4 linked regions of the Schizosaccharomyces pombe genome follow. The gene in region 3 interacts genetically with the main gene of each other region. Each region holds a gene or a part of one and is shown on either strand. Other genes may lie near its edges.

Region 1 (3,122 bases), 3.8 Mb from region 3:
GTATAAAGAAGCGGCTTATACAATTCTCATTTATTGATTAAGTTAATTTCTGTTAAGCTTTACTATGAGAATGGTGATTTGAATCCTCTTTTGGAATTAACTATGTTTAAGCTTATGTTTTGTACTGCTCCCGAGATCTTAACTGAAGCCTATCGTCACCTCGTCAATACGAATTTTTTTCAATTGTAAAGCATATGCAATAAAATATAGAATGATTATTTAATATAGGGCCTTTATATTATTTTTAAGTCTTTGTGGTATTTTGTAGGGATATACTGTCGAAATGGATTCATTTCATCCAACACCTGGAAAACCGACCACAGCAACATCAAATTCAAGTCTGAACTTTTTTGTAAGAAACAGAGAGAAAAGTATTAGGTGCTCAAGCTTGCATCAAACTTTTACAGCCCCTTCTCCTGAAGCTTCACCGTCAATCGGATTAAGATATGTAAATTACTCAATGAGCGACGAAACTGATGAATCTATGTTTCCACTTGATTCAGAACTGACCGATATGGAAGATGATGATACCGAGTACATATCAGACTCTACAACAGACTTGCCGTCCGCTGCCATGGCTAGAGGAACTAGGCAGTTGAGTTACAATGAAAATTTGGATCAGCGTTCGTTTTCTAAGACTCCAAATAAACATATTGAAGTAAAAAATTTAAAGGACCTTTGTAGTCCCTCTCATTCTGGAAGAATTTCGAAATCTTTGTGTCCTGTGTTACGAAGAAAGTCTTTGCTTCCCAAACCGAAAATGTTCCAACGCGTAGCCAGTGCCTTGTATGAAGAATCATCTCCTCTGGAGTTGGAAATCCGTAGTGAATCGGAATTTTCCAAGATGTTTTTCGAGCCTAAAAAATCATCATCCTTTGTTTCTAGAGCTGCTTCGCCTGCAATGGTAGGTCCGGGTGTACCGTTTTACAGTTCTATAACAGGTGCAAATGGTAATGTTCTCGCACCATCAGGATCTTTGAAAGCTGTTGAGAACTCTGATGTAATTGAGTCATCTGCAGAGGACAGTAGTAATACGGACAATCCATCTACTAAGCCTTCGAATGAGATGCCCATATCTCCTCTGCTTTCCAGTTCTGTATTTTTTAAGGATACAGAAATGTCAACTCCGAATAGCAATCACTCCAGATCCCGTACCCCATCCTCGAAAAAGCGAACTCGATGGGGCGAAGAAATAATCGACTTATCGAAGAGAAGAGCTGTATCTCCTTCCATTTATTATGATTTGGATAAGAAATGCTCTCCTATTCATTCTGTTATGGTCAGCCCCTTGAAGATTAAGGATACTCACGAAGTCTTGATGAATTTAAAGTTATGAACTAGCTCACGCTGCGAAGTGTGTATTTATTTGTACAATAATTGAATAATTAATTTCCTATCTTTTTACGCAACTTATTTTGTAGTAGCTTTTTATCATGTTGAATCTAGTTTACAATGTTACAGCGCCGTTATTTTTATTACTCTTTATAAAGAACAGCTTGTTATCATATCATTGTTTTGATATGTAAACAAAAGTCCTAAAAATCCGTTTACGGTTTCAGCAGCATAACATTATATTCTAAAATTTAAAACGACTTGAGATGTGAATTACTTTTTATTTAACGAATAACTTACAGCTTTTAAGCATATTTTACTCTCATAGTATATTTAGGCTTCGCCTCTTTGAATCTCGCTTTCTATTTTCGTTCCCCCAGGTAGTCTCTACTTTAACCTATACTGCAAGAAACTCAAATAATGGCTTCACAAACCATCCCGAAGTTAAAATCAGTATTATACTGCGATGTTTGTACATTGCCCGTGGAAGTACGTAATAAACAACTTGTTTTATAATTATATTAACTATGAATGCGTTGTAGTACTGCGAATTTGAGGGCACTTTAAAAAAATGTAAAGAATGGCTTAAATCATCTCACCCGGACGTTTATGATAAATTGTACGGTGAGCAAGACTTAAGCAAAGACCTTGAAAACACTCTGAATGTTAGCGGAACTAAAGATTCTAATGCAGAAGAACAACCGGCAAAATTGACGAAGGAGGAAAAGCGCGTTGAGCGTGAAGAAGCCAAACGTATGGCATCCAAGGTTTTGATAAAAACCATTGAAAGAACTAAAAGAAAGAGAGTCACCACAGTTCAAGGTCTTGACGCATTTGGGATCGAAACGAAAAAAGCTGCTAAGATGTTGGCCAACAAGTTCGCGACCGGAGCCAGTGTCACTAAAACAGCTGATAAGAAGGATGAAATTGTTGTACAGGGTGATTTGAATTATGATATATTTGATTTTATTTTGGAAAAGTTTAAAGAGGTTCCGGAAGACAATATTAAAATTGTCGAAGATACGAAATCTAAGAAGAAGCAGTAATCTTAATTTTTATTTTTTAAAAATACTACTAAGTATGCTATTTTTGGGGCTATTTTATCATAAACTGTCTTGTACAATCTTGTACAACCTAATTTTCTGTTAAATGGTTGCACAGTTAGGATACCGGTTTTTAATAATTTATTGAGACTCATGTTTTTTAATGTTTCTATATAAAAAATGCCTAATTATCAATATTTTACAATTTATTGCCTGTTGTATTAGTATGATGATTTGAAGTCACCATTTGTTTACTTACATTTCATTGCCAAGGCTATAGAGTAGTATTAGCATTCGTTGTGTATGCCATGAATTTCTTAGCAGTTAAAAATTGAAATTGTGTTTCTTTACGCCTTTTTGGACGTTATCAGCATACAAAATAAGGCAGCTTAGTAGTTCATTAAGAAAATGTTGTCTTGAATGTAGGAATAAATTATATTTTGACAAAGTAATCGATTCTACAAAGAATGCTGTGATCATTGTCACCTTTTTAAATTTGATAAAATTGATTTACTATGCAAATAGTTGTAGCTTCATTATTAACTAAGAAGAACCGTGATAATAACATTACTCAGTAGCTAGTTCTTCAGTGTACTTAACTTTCAGGGGACAGGATTTTAATATCGATACAAACACTTAAGAGATCCGAATGCGTATTTCGTTATTGAAGTTTTTGAGTCATTTGCGTTGAGGCGCATTAAGCAATGCTGATGGGGAAGTTGACGATTTCACCATTCGAACATTGCC
Region 2 (4,681 bases), on a different chromosome or scaffold from region 3:
CAGCATTATTGTCAAAAGAAGACGAAAACTCAAAAATTTTTTTAAGTTAAAAGACAATGGAAAATGGAAGCACTCCATTTTCCATTTTCACGCTGTCTGTAATTCACCAATCCATCGTAATGATGGAAGCTTGAACAAGCTAGTTAATTGTTATGTATGTTTTTCCTCATACATTGGAAGTTAGACTATGAATAGAAATAATAACTGGACTATACCTCTTTAGAAACAAATACAACAAAAAGCAAAAAGAATAAAAGGAAGCCTACAGCACCCCGGATTCCCATGTTGTCTCCAACCATAGTACTAACGAGGCCCTCAGACGCTTAACTGCAGTGATCGGACGGGAACTGGTGTTTTCACCTAGGTATGGCCGTAGACATTTGTTGTGTTAAATAATAGTATTTATTCTGTTATTCAAGTAGGTTAACTAGTGAGTAGTTCATAGAAAAATAACTTGAGAAATGACAATCTTGATATGAATGATCATTGAAATAATTTGAAAACTAAAAAAAAAAAATTGTTCAGATTGATAGGAATGCTACGTTAACAAAAATTGACGATTTACTCGCTCGTACAAAATTGATTTTTATATGCATTCTCAAGTCTAGTGAACTCAACAGCATCTATTCCCTGCGATGCTATTCCTAGTACGAGAATAGGAGTAGTTCACTCGAATGTCTCGTTTCATTGGGGTAGGGAAGGAAACACTTATATATTTACCATACTTTAGTATTTTTATTCGTAACTCTTTTCAAGGAATTTTTTTCAATCCAGTATCATTAGTGCTGTGTCTAAATAAAGAATAAATACCAATTTCAAACCAGTCAATGCATTCGTTTTCGCAACCCACCCACTAGCCTAAGCTATGAAGCCTCAAAAATAATTTGGCGTACAGACATTTTAATCAACATTAAGCTTCACAATAAAATGTCAACGAATGTTTAGTAAAAAGACATTCTGACTATTAACAATTAAAAGACACTACATTTTGTAAAATATATATTATGTACTTAATCTCGTAATGAACAAGCAAGTCCCGAGTGGCTCAATCGGTTTAGAGCGTCTGACTCTTATGATGGTCATCAGAAGGTTGCGAGTTCGAGTCTCGCCTTGGGAGTTAGTTTTTACATTTTTGAGAAATGAGATGCACCGATCACTGACTCAAAGGTTTTGTAAAATAAAGGCTTCATTTAAATTTTCGTTCTTGTATAAAGTAGAAATCAACTGCGAACCCTAAAATGTAACGACCGATAGATCCATACTGTTAGCACGTTGCTGTAAATTTTTTAACTTATTGGGAGATTATGAAATGAGATTGATGTTAGAAAGCTTATAAGCAACATATACAATTACGCTTTTTTTCAGAAATTTGGGTAAGTATCATTTATTTTCTTTGTTTATTGTCAAACCCACTTTCCGATGTACATTAAAGAATCGTTAAATAAAATTACGACCTTTTGTACTTTCGTAGCTTCACGTACCGGTACATTAAACAAAATTTTCAAGTGGTGTTATGTTTCGTTATGTGTGTTTGCTACACGGTATTTCCTCGACCGGATCTCCACCTGTCGGTACATTCCAAAAAAGCAGTAAAAGTGTTAAATTCTCAGAAAGCGGCTGAATTTTCTTCGAAAATTTTGCTATTTAGAAGCGCCTTTACGGTTATATAAGAGCTGCTAAACAGCTTCAAATTGAACTCCCTTTGTCTCCAAATTTGTAGGCTTGTTTTGAAAGCTTCAAAGAAGAAAGGGTTGGAGCGCTCCAAATAGCCCTCAAGATGAAAGGGATTAAAAGCAAAATGGTAAGATCCATATCTAGTGTTTATTTGATTAACCAGAATCTAGCTTTCTCGAGGGAAATCTCAAGATACCCAGAAGTCTAGCAAGAAGAAGGAAAGCAAAAAATCGAATTCCCATGACTCTAGCAAGGCTCCGAAAGAGGTACGGAAAAGGTTTTTACTTACTTTTAACATTTTCATAGTCTCCCTCGACGGATCCCAATGGTTCTGTGATTGGTGCCCAAAACGACTTTCTTACTGTTCCAAAACATTCAGGAAAGAAAGTACCTATTGATACCACACCAACTCCTAGAGATGAGATCTTATTAGAGAATGTCAGGACTGTTCGTAAACAACGTTCATCCCTTTACCATATATCTGAAAATCGAAACCTGGTCCGTCTTCCATCCTTTACTGGTATGTTTTATGGATACACTTCATTGATTGTTTTAAGTAGTTATAAAAGATTTTGTTTCTTATTAGAATGTCATGAAATTGGATGGTGTTCAATGCGGCACATGCTGGTGTCGCTTGTGGATTTACTGTTCAGCTTGATGTGTCTGATATCGAAAAAGGAATCCTTCCATTTTTTCTCACATTTCATTTTATTTTACTAAGAGATGATTTAAACCACAAACATTGAATAGGATTTTCTTTCTGATTTAATGTACTTGGTGTTGACAAACACTGAGGTGTTATCAATATACTTTGTTGTCAACCAATTTAATTTACTAACCTGTCTATTTAGATGTTCCTGTTAATAAATGGCACTCTCTGGCGTTGGAAAAATTAGAACAATGTTGCGTTGTTTTCGATTTCAACGATCCCTCCACCGATCTTTACGGAAAAGAAGTGAAGCGAGAGGCTCTTCAAGATCTCATTGATTTAATATCTGTTCGAAAGGAAGCAATTGATGAGTCATTGTATCCATCCATTGTTCATATGTTTGCAGTAAATGTGTTTCGTCCTTTACCTCCTCCTTCTAATCCTCCCGGTGAAATCATGGATCTTGAAGAAGATGAGCCGGCTTTGGAAGTTGCTTGGCCCCATCTTCACCTTGTTTACGATTTTTTCTTAAGATTTTTTGAATCTCCGTCTTTGAATACATCCGTAGCCAAGGTGTATATTAATCAAAAATTTATTAGGAAATTACTTGTATTGTTCGACAGCGAAGATCCTAGGGAACGTGATTTTCTAAAGACTACACTTCATAGAATATACGGAAAGTTTCTTTCTCTTCGTGCGTTCATAAGGCGCTCAATTAATAATTTATTTTTGCAGTTTGTCTATGAGAACGAGCAATTTAATGGTATTGCCGAACTGTTGGAAATCCTCGGGAGTATCATTAATGGATTTGCCCTACCACTAAAAGAGGAACACAAAATATTCTTGTCACGTGTTCTTATTCCTTTACATAAAGCCAAATCCCTTCCCCTTTATTACCCTCAAATTGCTTATGGAATTGTTCAATTTGTTGAAAAGGATTCATCTGTTACAGAAGAGGTATGTATATTTCCTAGTGTTTCTTACGTTTTATCTAACGATGACAATATAGGTTGTCTTGGGCTTACTTCGATACTGGCCGAAAGTAAATAGCTCAAAAGAAGTCTTATTTTTAAATGAAATTGAAGATATTATTGAAGTGATGGAACCTTCAGAGTTTTTAAAGATCCAGGTGCCGCTCTTCCACAAGTTGGCAACATCCATATCTAGCCAAAATTTCCAAGTTGCTGAAAGAGCTTTATATTTTTTTAACAACGACTATTTCGTGCATTTGGTTGAAGAAAACGTTGACATTATACTACCAATTATATATCCCGCACTCTTTGAAATTTCAAAAAGTCACTGGAATAGGTAAGTAGTTACTCATTTAAAATCCCTTTTTATTTTCTTTATTTAAGATAAAGAAAGTGGTTTATTAGTTCTTGCTGACGTTTTGTTAGAGTTATACATTCTATGGTTTGTAACGTCTTAAAATTGTTCATGGACATTAATCCTTCTTTATTCGATGAAGTTGATGCTGAGTATTCTGAGAGTCGTCGGAAAAAAGAAGATGAAGAAATTATACGAGAAGAAAGATGGACTATACTAGAAAACATCGCTAAAGAGAATGCTATGAAACTTAAATCTCAAAACCCTACTACTGTGCACTCTACTACTGAGAGACTAAAAAAACTTTCACTTGACTACACCAATGGTTAGGACTTGCATATTTTAATAATGATCCATATATTGTACTTAGTCTCTAATATTCCCTCTTTTACATTTTACATACTATATCATTTTCAGTTAGTATTTCCTTTTCTTTTAATTGATTGTAATAAAATATAAATCGGTAACTTGGTAGCAATCTTCTTTTCAAATTGAATGTTGCAATCTCAAGTGGGCCTAAGCTAGAAGGGTTCATTTTTTTGTTTGCATACCCCAGCTTAACCTACCACTGAGAGCCAACTGTAGGTATGCCAGTGAGGTGCTCCTCAACTTCAGCAAAAGCACTAAAATTGGCATAATATAATTGTTATTGAATATGTCTTGCATTCAAATTATTTCATCTAGTCAAACTTCAATTGCTGGTCATAGAAAGCTATGCAACAAATTGTTTACCCTACGGACGCAGGAAGGATTTGAAACCGACATCCTAAGGGCGCTAAATATTATATTAACTGTTAAAAAAGGAAACTCAAATGCTGACCGCGTTTTGAGGTTCCTAGTAACCTTTGTTAATTACCTTCAGCAGAAGGATCCTGAGATAGACATTGTTCAACCTATCTTAAAACATATACTTCGTGGGTTAGATGCCAAAGATAAAACTGTAAGATATCGTTGCTGCCAAATTATTGCCAGAGTGGTTAATTGTGTAAAAGAAATTGATGATGACCTTTACAATACCCTCAAAGAAAAGCT
Region 3 (4,223 bases):
TGAAAAATAAGGAAGTTAAAGAGTAATCTCTTGTCAGTGATGGTTACAATACCTTCACTCATCCATATTTCTTAAAAACATACCCTCGATTGGCAGCTAAAATCATACGTAGCCAGCTGAAAAAGTCATTAGCTTTAGAAAATTAAAATTTAAACAAAAATAATAGTCTTACAGCAAAGGATCCGAAGAGTCTGAAGAGACAATTCCATATAATGGTACTTGAGACATAACCAAAAAAATCAACAAGGTGACTCCAGTCCATAACATTTTTTGCTTGAAAGGGACCTAGATTCGATATTAGCTTTCGATGTCTCTTATGAGATACATATGCTACATACCTTTCGTTCGGGTGCAGCAATCTCCGGTAAGAATGGCGCGAAAGGCTTTACAAGGTCCAGAAATCGTACTGTATAGTGTTAGAAATCAATAAGAAATAAAGCATGGTCTTACAATCACTCATATTGTATAATTTAATTAGATTTCTGCCCAACTAAACTTGCTGGTTCTTGTTGACAGTGAAGTATCATACTGAGGTTTTGGTGGTGAATTAAATTAAGGCAGCAGAACGATGGAGATAACTATTCACTTAAATGCGATAACAAGTAAATATTTCGTTTCATTATATAGTTAATAAATACGCTATAATACCAGTATAAACATTTGTTGAAGCTGTAATGAATGCCTGAATTGCCCATTTAACAAGCGTTAGAGAAGTTTTTTAAGCCGATTAAAATTCAAAATAATAACTGCTGAAATGATTTTACTTCACATAGGGATTAAAAGGAGATGCGATTTCCATTACGACCCAGGCAACAAGGTTGACTAATAAATCAAGATCATTAATTTAATATGGAATAAGAAGGGAACTAAAGGCTATGATGAAAGGCTTAATATGTGTACCGATCTAAGATGCCAACTGTTTCACCAAAAAATGAAAACACAATATTGTTTTACCAATTTGTAATTGGGAGATTGGATCAAATAAATTGATTACCAATTCATGACCTCAACAAGTAATTCTAGTTGTTCATAAGTGTTAGCCTCTTTCTTGCAATTACTATCCACGTGATTTAGATGTTTCTGTGGAACAACAGCTATCTGGATAAAAAAACTTTGGGACAAACGAGAGTGAAACATTTTTAACTTAAATTATTTGCATCACTCTGAAAGTTATGAGTTGACTCATTCGAAGTCAGTTGAGAGATGAATCACAGACACTACTTATTGAGAACTTTAAGCAATGGAAAACTTGATATCGAAGGAGCTATCAAAGTCAATATTAATTGAATGAGGACATTATGCAAAGAACGTATTTTGGTTCATTATAAGGAAACCTCTTTTTAGTATCTTTCAAACAAGCAGGAGCTTCATGAATGCAAGGCCGGAGAGAAATTGGACTAGCCTACTCACAGACTAGAAGATTACAAAACTTCAAAGGATATGTCTCAGTACGAAGATCGTACCCTTAGCGCAAGAGTATTGAACCCTCGTCAAATTAGTGAGCAATATCAGAAAAAAGTTTTTGTATTAATTCCTTGTAAACTTTACGTTTCAGTAAAAGGAGCCTAGTCGTTCTTCTTCATTCCCTAAGCTTTTTCATAACTTCAATGCGTGAATTATTGTACAATTTGTAGTAAACTTCCATTTATTAAGTCTTTGAACTAAATGGCTTAAAAATGACAATATTCCTGAATATCCTTTGCAGAGTAGTTTTCGACGTGAATTGCGAGGAAAATGAACCTGTAAACTTTATTGAAGACGAGTCAAATTATTGAGTTATTTAATATAAGTCCAAAGAAAAGCGTTTTTTAAATAGTCATTATTGTGGTATGTTGCTAGTTGAATGTTATACACTTCGTTGTCCACACCAGTTACTGCTTGTGCATACAATAAAGCTGGATGCTTAAAAAATTGACTGGCATCATTGTAATTTTATAATCTACATATGCAAAAAGCCCATGAACTTTTTTTCTTGTACATAGACTCTAGAAAGAGGAAATAAATTGATCGATTTTACTATCAGACAAAGGCGTTTGTTTATGATTGTTGAGATCATTCAATAAACCTTTTAATACTTCCTGATACGATTTTTGTCTTTAGTCCATTTTTACGAGAAGTACAAACAATCGGTCTGATAATTTTTCACATATCGTATATTAGAAGATGGATTCCACAGCTCAACAATTTCCTTTGAACCACGACCTGCAAGTACAAAAAGACCAGAAAGGTGTTGTAGAGGAAGATGAGGAGCAAATACATAAGCGCATTCGCAATTATGAATCACATTCAGGATTCTCTGAATATTGTACTCTTTTCGGTCATGAGAAAAGTGTTACATGTGTCAGCGTTTCCCCTAACAAACGATGGATCGCTACCTCTTCATCCGATGGAACTATAAAGATTTGGAGCGCACTTACGTTTCGACTTGAATGTACACTTTTCGGCCACTACCGAGGAATATCTCAAGTAAAATGGGCAACTGGTAGTAAGTATCTAGCTAGCGCTTCTGACGATAAGACCATAAGGATTTGGGATTTTGAAAAACGGTGCAGTGTGAGATGTTTAAAAGGTCATACAAATTACGTTTCATCAATTGACTTTAATCCATTGGGCACGCTTTTGGTGTCAGGATCATGGGATGAGACTGTCCGTATATGGAATCTTCAAGATGGAACTTGCCTTAGGATGCTACCTGCACATTCAGAACCTATTATATCTGTTTCTATATCAGCTGACGGAACTTTATGTGCGACTGCTAGTTATGATGGAATGGCACGAATTTGGGATGTTCTCAGTGGCCAGTGTTTAAAAACATTAGTTGAACCCATTAATGTTCCTTTGTCTAATCTCCAGTTTACAGAAAATCGAAAATATCTGCTTGTAAGTAATCTTAACTCACAGATCCGTCTTTGGGATTATCGCCGAAACCGTGTGGTACGAATATTTGATAGCCACGTGAATACAAGATATTCTATGTCTTGGGATTGCTATTCTTCTAAAAATATTCCTAAAAATACTGAAGCTTTACCCAATAATGACTCTTCCTACCCTGATGATGCAGAATCTTTCATGCACGATGCTTATCTTTTAATTCCTAGTGAAGATGGAACAATCCAAATTACAGATCCGAGTACAAAAATAATTATTGACGATTCAATTAGGCATTCCGATGATCCAGAAACATCACTTTTAAATGTAACCAGTTTAGGTCCTTTCATAATCACATCAGGAACTGATCCTTATGTACGAGTTTGGGCTCCTTCTCTTCTATTGTCGAAGCACGAGAAAGATGGCTTTTCACCTTAACCTGAATTGTTGACAAATAATGTATAAAGTTTAAAGAAACTACTTGGAATTACGATGAAGATAATGATGCTAAAGGTTTACGTGCGAAAACAAGCTCCTTACTTCCAATCCAAAGGCTAGTTGGCCTATGAAAACTTAAGTGGATCGATACATAGAAGATAAAATTAATTTATACAGTCTTCGATTATTCTTTACAGAAGATTTCTCGAAGAACGAATGTCGGCCAAGTTGATATCCTGAAATTGATGGTTTTTCTAATTTTTCTCGTTTATTAAACCAGTTATATTCATTTTGTTACTAATTTTCATCATCTAGTTTAATTCGACAGATTTTAAAGGGAGATAAATTTTTTACTTTTTTTTCCTAATATTTATTCCTTTACCACTACTGATATTCTAATAAGGTAAAACTTTTTTCGAATTAAATCATTTGGCCGAGTCAAACTTAAAATAATTGAGAAAAAAACGTATTACCTGATTTTCAATGAGTGAAAACCCAGCACATAAGGATTTGGACAGTTTGCAGGTTGACGAGAAAGCAAAAAGTTGGATTGCTGAAAAAGTTGAAGAGGAGCTCCGAAGGTTAGAGTCAGTAGGTGCTAAAGCGATCCCCTTAGATGTTAAGAATTACAGTGTTATGTTAGATGAAGACACGGATACTGTGGTAAACAGAATTGAGTTGATGACTAGCTTCGACTTTGATCATGTTCAACAAATTCTTCTATCCGCCGTACAGCCCTATCCTTATGATAAAAACTTAATGTTTGTTTATTTGGTGATATTAACGCCTCTTCCACACCCTATGTTAATTCCATATTTGTTTGCACCCAAGGTCGTAGGCAAGAATCTACTACCCCGTGCTGACGGATTGGTAGAGAATACCTTGAAAAGATGGACATTCATTAATGATAAGCTCAA
Region 4 (5,806 bases), on a different chromosome or scaffold from region 3:
TTTGGACAATGTTCAAGAAAAATGGATTTCTGAAGTTCTTCACTTCTGCTCCAATTTACCCATTTTGCTAGTTGGGTGTAAAGTGGATTTACGAAACGATCCAAAAACAATCGAAGAGCTCTCCAAAACCTCACAGAAGCCTATCACATTTGAAGAAGGACAGGTAGTAGCTCAAAAGATTGGCGCCTATAAGTATCTCGAATGTTCAGCGAAATTGAACGAAGGGGTCAATGAGGTTTTTGAGACTGCAGCTCGTGCTTCCATGCTTAAATTTAAGCCTGCTAGTGTACCGAAGACAAAAAAGAAGAAGCACTGTATCTTACTCTGATGAAATGCAATCTCTGTTATGGTGTATAAGAGCGTTCTATTAATTACATTCTGTATTGTTAGATTCACTATATTCATTTATCCTCTTGTGCAAAGGAATTATTTTACGAGCTTAACCTTTGTGGTACCGTACACCAAGTTTTTTATCCTTCGAATCATTACCTAATGAGTTTCCATGAATGTTTAAATATTTCATAGTAATTAATTGTCTAATCTTTTATTTAAACTTATCGAAGCCTTTCATTAAAAAACTAGTATAAACACAGTTATATTCATTCACTATTTCGCGAATGTTTGTTGCGTTTTGATTTCAGGAACGTGTTAATTTCCTCACGTAATGTATCATCTAAAGAATTAGTAACTAACAGTGGAAAAAAAAAACTTACTCGGTGTCACATCATCAAGCGTTAATGGAGTTCGATTAAATGGGTCGGTGGCATCACTTAGTAGATGTGCTTTAATAGTAGACCTATCAATCGAAATGCCAGATCTCGGTAAAACAACAGGATCTTTCATTATTGTAAACATAAGAGGATCTAAGAAGTAGTCAGGAATATCACCCATGTCTTCCTCTTCAGTAGCCTCTTGCAATCTGAATGCCTCTACCCTATTCACAAATTCTTTAATAGCTTCTATATCAAAAGATGACTTGAGGTTGTGCTTAGTCATAATGCTAGTCGCACGTTCAAATATTTCTTTACTATAAGAACGGCCATCGTGAGCAACAGCTTCGACAAATGCAGGTTCATTGCACAGGTTAAGATAAACATCGAAAATAATCGACAAAAGGGTTTTTGCATTAAAATGATATTTCGTTGGGTCCTCTACCTTGAGGTTACTACACTTAGGGCCACATAAAGCTTGAAGGTTATAGTTTAGCATAGCTGCCAACCGATCTACAATTTCAACGGCACAAAAGGCTTTAGGAATTGAGGAAGTGAACAATTTGAGCATAAAAATAGTTTCATTCCCTAACTGGCAATAAGTAGAAGCTTGACGTTCTGCGGCCGCTAAGTTGCTTTGCGATTCTTGAACATTCTGGTTAGAGTTGCTATTGCTTATTGCATCTGCCAAAAGGCTCTGAAGGTTGTGAATCTCGGTTAGTTTTAAAAGAGCCTCATCAAGAAGATATGTAGCATCATTAAGCATGAGAGCTACAAATTTAACAAAAAACGGCAAATTTGTTTTTTGCTCCTGCTCCAGCTTACCAAAATAGGCTGGTTGCTTCCAAATAGTTCTAAATACTTCGCATATATAGAAACGAATGTTGAATTTATCATAAAATTGGGTAGATTGTCCTGTAGATTCAATCTCAATATAAAACGCCATAAGTGCTGGAAGTAACCACCTTGTTGCAACCTTCGACGTACGTACAACATCTAACAACAATTCTGATCTTCCCACGTGCGTTTGCACTCCAAAGTATAAAATCTCGGCAAGTTTCGCTCGCAAATAAGGATTTTTGATATAATTAGCTTGAGTTAGAAACGACACACAAAATTCACACAAAGGCTCTAAGGAATGCAGCGTCAAAGTACTCGACGAGGTTTTAAATAAAGACAACATATAATCTGTAATGGTTTCAATAAAATATTCAGGTAAACATTTGAAAGCTTCCGGTGCATTTTCATTAAACGGTAACGATAGCGGCATTTTTGGATATGTCGAAGATTGACCATCAGCTAACCTCGATAACCAAATGGCAACGAAATTAAGAAAAGAAAATGATCTTGAAGTATCAGATGTCTGCGTAAGCATAATCTCATAACAGTGCACAAACGATCTATCTAAATCCAATCTTTGATCAAGCCGACTTAATTGAGCAGTGAGACGTGTCGCTTGAAAACTACCGCTCATATTTTGCTGTTCAGTCTCTAATCTTTCTTTCAGTTTCTCGCTATCACGAATTGATTGCACAAGTTGCTCTAAAGCCTTAAAGGTAGCATTTACACCATAATGATGAAATGCGAGATTTAAAAAAAATATGTCTGAAATAAAGTTATTGGAACCCTCGGCTGGTTTTGAATAAAACGATTCCGAAGCCTTTTGATCAGCATTCAATTTAGTCTCTTCTTTGATATCAACGCGAGGGTTTCTCCTAAAATATTCAACTTGTACTCTGTCAATTTTCGAACATCCTATGTCAAGAAATGGTTCAGAAAGTCTGCTTAACACATGTGAAAAATTTAGCATGCAGGCGTCAGATGTAATATCAAAATGATTAACTTGAATGGATTGTCGCTTGTGATTGGCATTTACCACCATGGCAAAGAAATCCAACACAGACTCTCTCAAAGATGTAGATGTTCGAATGAGGGTATTGAAAATTTGAAAAAGGACATCCTGATAAGTAGACATAGTCAATTTTAAAGAACTTATTGACGAAGATATATTTTGGGCTGATCTCTCAGTAGAATTGGAAAAATATCGAGAAGCGACATCTTGAGTAAACACTGACAAGCTTGATATTCTTCCAAGAAACGTTTTGTACTCAATTTCTCCAGCATTATTCGTAGGATTCCAAGAAGGCAACTTCGGCAAAAGTAATGCAATTGGTTTTAATGACACAAGTTGTAATATAATCTAAAAATATCAGTTTATGCTAAAAGATAAAAATTGATGTTCATACCTGCATCACATTCATTTGAACAGTATCTACATTCATAAGACCAATTTTCAAAGATAAAGATTCCAACACAGGAATAAACAATTCATCTAAGTTTTCGTGTTCAAACCTCTGAACAAATTCTGATAGAAATTCCAAAGGTATACCTTCTGCACCAATTAAAACCTCGGCCAAATCAATTGTCTCCGAATTGAATGTGTCAGGAAGCATTACTACAATACCGGCATAACTGACAAGCAAACTTTTTAACAGAGATAAATAGTGAATTTTAAAGTCCTGGTTTTCATCCTTCGGAAGTCTCTTTTTATACTGATACAGAAAACTCCAAGACTGTAACAAATAAGAGAAAGTATTGTTGCCAGTTGTTGACAGTCGAGAGAGTAACGCAGAGTCAACATTATTCTCATTAAATAATAAAGGGGATCCCTCTTCTTCTAAATCTTTTTTAAAACCTTCTAAATAGTATTTTGATGAATCAGTTTCACTTAATGTAATATTAAGAGCCTGACATGTTATAAAATGCATCCATTCATCCTTAGAAAACAAGCGATGTTTTGGAGCACCAGATGTAACAGGTGGAGATATTTCTTTTTGTTCTGAATTTGATGTTGTAGCCTTTGAACCAATAAATCTCTTTTTTAAATCAGGTTTTTTAGGTTCAGGTGCAATATTGCTTTCCTTAGGTTCTTTAGAAGAATTTGCCTCCGAATTGGTCTGCTGCAATTTAGCAAGCCTTTTAAGACGAATCTATGGGCCAATATTAGCAATTAGCTGAAATTTTTCTCTTACCTTTTCCAAATCACTCATAATGGGGTGGATTGAGCAAGTTGGTGGAAGTGAGGTCAACATATGTTTTAACTACCAAAACTTACTATGCTAAACCGGTAACATGAAATTGTATTAACATATATTATTTTTCTCGTTTATAGTATTTATCCAGCCAAAAACTTTCTATTTTAGAAATATTCTTCACGAATATTTGAGTTTCTGATTCGACAGCTAAAACGTTAAAATAGTCTTATAACAAATAGGCTTACCTGAAGAATACATGATCCATGGTGTTTTTTTTTCATGAAGTACACTACTAGAGTCTAACCAAACCTGCTTTCCTCCTATTGTTTTGTAAGAGCCGTCATTCTGTAAATGTGCGACGTTACGCACAAAACCATCAAGTAGGCATTTCAAAATTTTGGAACAATCACTGGATGGTAATCTTTGAGCAGTAGGTATAGAAAATTTATTTAAAAAACGAACCAAATGAGTGCGAATGTCAAGGGCTTGGCGCAAAGTTTGATAGTTCAAATAATTTTTCCTGCACCATTGTAAATCTTTTTTGTTACCGACAAAAGATTCAAAAACTAAATGTTAATACACTTTTAAACTTTATTAATGAAGCATACCATTTAATGCGGTAATGATGTCCCCTTCATTTGCAAAAAAAGAAGAATGGGCAACGAAGGCATCATTCTTTGATGAACTTGTGGGATTATAAAATACTTCGCCTGCTGTAAGTATTGAAGCAATTGAAAGAATTTCATGAGTGCAACCAAATTGGTTGGAAGTAAGTAACTAATGATGGGTTAGCGTGTACTTTATTTCCTATATGGGAGTACGTACAGCTTTGGAGATGTTTGCATCCAAGAATGAGTTGGAAATTTGTATGCCAAGTGGGTCTGTCAAATTTCCACTTTCGTCCAAGACACCTAAAAGATAGAGGTCCTTCAAAAAAATTAGTTGTTTGCCGGCTATAATAAAATTCACAAACCTCTAGAGCCGCCATAAGGTGAACTGTGGGAGGACGGACAAAAAAGGGAAACTGAAGTATGTTTTTTAGCCCTAAACCTTTCAAAAATAACACCAACGGTGACATATCGCAATTTAAGATGTCTGCTTCAAATTCTTCTTTCATCAAGCTGTAAGCTTTTTCAGTATATAGACGGAACACCTTTCCCCTCATTGTCCTTCCAGCTCTTCCACTTCTCTGTATAGCACTTGACTTAGATATAGGCACGTTAATCAATTTTGAAGTCCTTGTATACGGGTTGTATATCCGTTGTTTATTAAAACCTGAATCAACGACATAAACTATGCCATCAATAGTAATACTAGTCTCAGCAATATTCGTAGAAAATATAACTTTTCTGAAGTCACCATCATATATGTTAAAAACTCGCATTTGCTCGTCAACAGTAAGACCAGCATGTAAAGGTAAAGGAACTAAAGTTTGACAGTCTTCGGAAGCATGAATTAAGGAATCTTCAATCTTTTTTATACAGTATTCTATTTCTTTTCTTCCCGAAAGAAAAACCAATATATCACCAGGCGGATAGGTTGAATTAATGTTTATAACCGTTTCGATTGCAGAATCAACGTAATTTTCTGTAGGTTTCTGCAAAAATAATGTTTCTACGGGGAATAATTTCCCTTCAATTGACATAGTGCATACTTTATCTTGTCCGAAAAACTGAGACAGTTTATTCGCGTCAACAGAAGCGCTGGAGAGCACAAGTCTAAAATCATTCCTCTTTTCTAAAATCCTTGATTTGTCAGCTATGAATAGAAAATTTAAATACCTTTTCAAAACTCCTAGTAGGAGATCTGTCGACAAAGTTCGTTCATGGACTTCGTCGAGAATGACTATTGAATATCTTTCCAGCAAAGGATCAAAAAATATTTCATTCAAAAGGATTCCATCGGTCATATATTTTATTTTTGTTTTTTCAGAAACGTTATGATCAAATTGAATGCTATATCCACACAAACTTCCAGGAGGAGAGTTCAGTTCCAAAGATACTCGTTCAGAGACGCTCTTTGCTACGAGTCTTCTGGGCTTTCAAATAAGTTAGGAGGATG

Evidence for each region.
Region 1: mutations in swd3 (region 3) and tma22 together harm fitness more than expected from each alone (negative genetic interaction), as found in Schizosaccharomyces pombe (2 studies listed by BioGRID).
Region 2: mutations in swd3 (region 3) and par1 together harm fitness more than expected from each alone (negative genetic interaction), as found in Schizosaccharomyces pombe (2 studies listed by BioGRID).
Region 4: mutations in swd3 (region 3) and ufd2 together harm fitness more than expected from each alone (negative genetic interaction), as found in Schizosaccharomyces pombe (2 studies listed by BioGRID).

The regions. Positions count from the first base shown.
Region 1 is NC_003423.3:4,333,867-4,336,988, forward strand, and holds tma22 (mitochondrial translation initiation factor), read left to right. Parts: upstream 1-1,726; 5' UTR 1,727-1,752; coding exon 1,753-1,821; intron 1,822-1,874; coding exon 1,875-2,378; 3' UTR 2,379-2,614; downstream 2,615-3,122. Other genes in the region: protein Dbl6, read left to right, coding at 284-1,336.
Region 2 is NC_003421.2:1,474,000-1,478,680, forward strand, and holds par1 (serine/threonine protein phosphatase PP2A regulatory subunit B-56 Par1), read left to right. Parts: upstream 1-1,573; 5' UTR 1,574-1,777; coding exon 1,778-1,801; intron 1,802-1,844; coding exon 1,845-1,940; intron 1,941-1,980; coding exon 1,981-2,194; intron 2,195-2,525; coding exon 2,526-3,280; intron 3,281-3,332; coding exon 3,333-3,631; intron 3,632-3,720; coding exon 3,721-3,979; 3' UTR 3,980-4,104; downstream 4,105-4,681. Other genes in the region: condensin complex non-SMC subunit Cnd3, read left to right, coding at 4,305-4,681. UniProt on the Schizosaccharomyces pombe protein: The B regulatory subunit might modulate substrate selectivity and catalytic activity, and might also direct the localization of the catalytic enzyme to a particular subcellular compartment. Has a role in cell shape control and septum formation.
Region 3 is NC_003423.3:546,507-550,729, forward strand, and holds swd3 (Set1C complex WD repeat protein Swd3), read left to right. Parts: upstream 1-1,857; 5' UTR 1,858-2,163; coding exon 2,164-3,306; 3' UTR 3,307-3,723; downstream 3,724-4,223. Other genes in the region: translocon alpha subunit Sec61, read right to left, coding at 84-116, 173-285, 339-406, 451-460; SPOM_SPBC354.04 (uncharacterized protein), read left to right, coding at 3,790-4,223. UniProt on the Schizosaccharomyces pombe protein: The Set1 complex specifically methylates 'Lys-4' of histone H3.
Region 4 is NC_003424.3:2,126,417-2,132,222, reverse strand, and holds ufd2 (ubiquitin-protein ligase E4), read right to left. Parts: upstream 3,783-5,806; 5' UTR 3,761-3,782; coding exon 3,743-3,760; exon of another isoform or gene 3,735-3,742; intron 3,701-3,734; coding exon 2,957-3,700; intron 2,911-2,956; coding exon 714-2,910; intron 674-713; coding exon 600-673; 3' UTR 510-599; downstream 1-509. Other genes in the region: Rho family GTPase Rho5, read left to right, coding at 1-328; gih35 (ATP-dependent RNA helicase), read right to left, coding at 3,864-3,952, 3,991-4,311, 4,354-4,522, 4,571-4,672, 4,719-5,490, 5,527-5,783. UniProt on the Schizosaccharomyces pombe protein: E4 ubiquitin chain-elongation enzyme specifically involved in polyubiquitin chain assembly.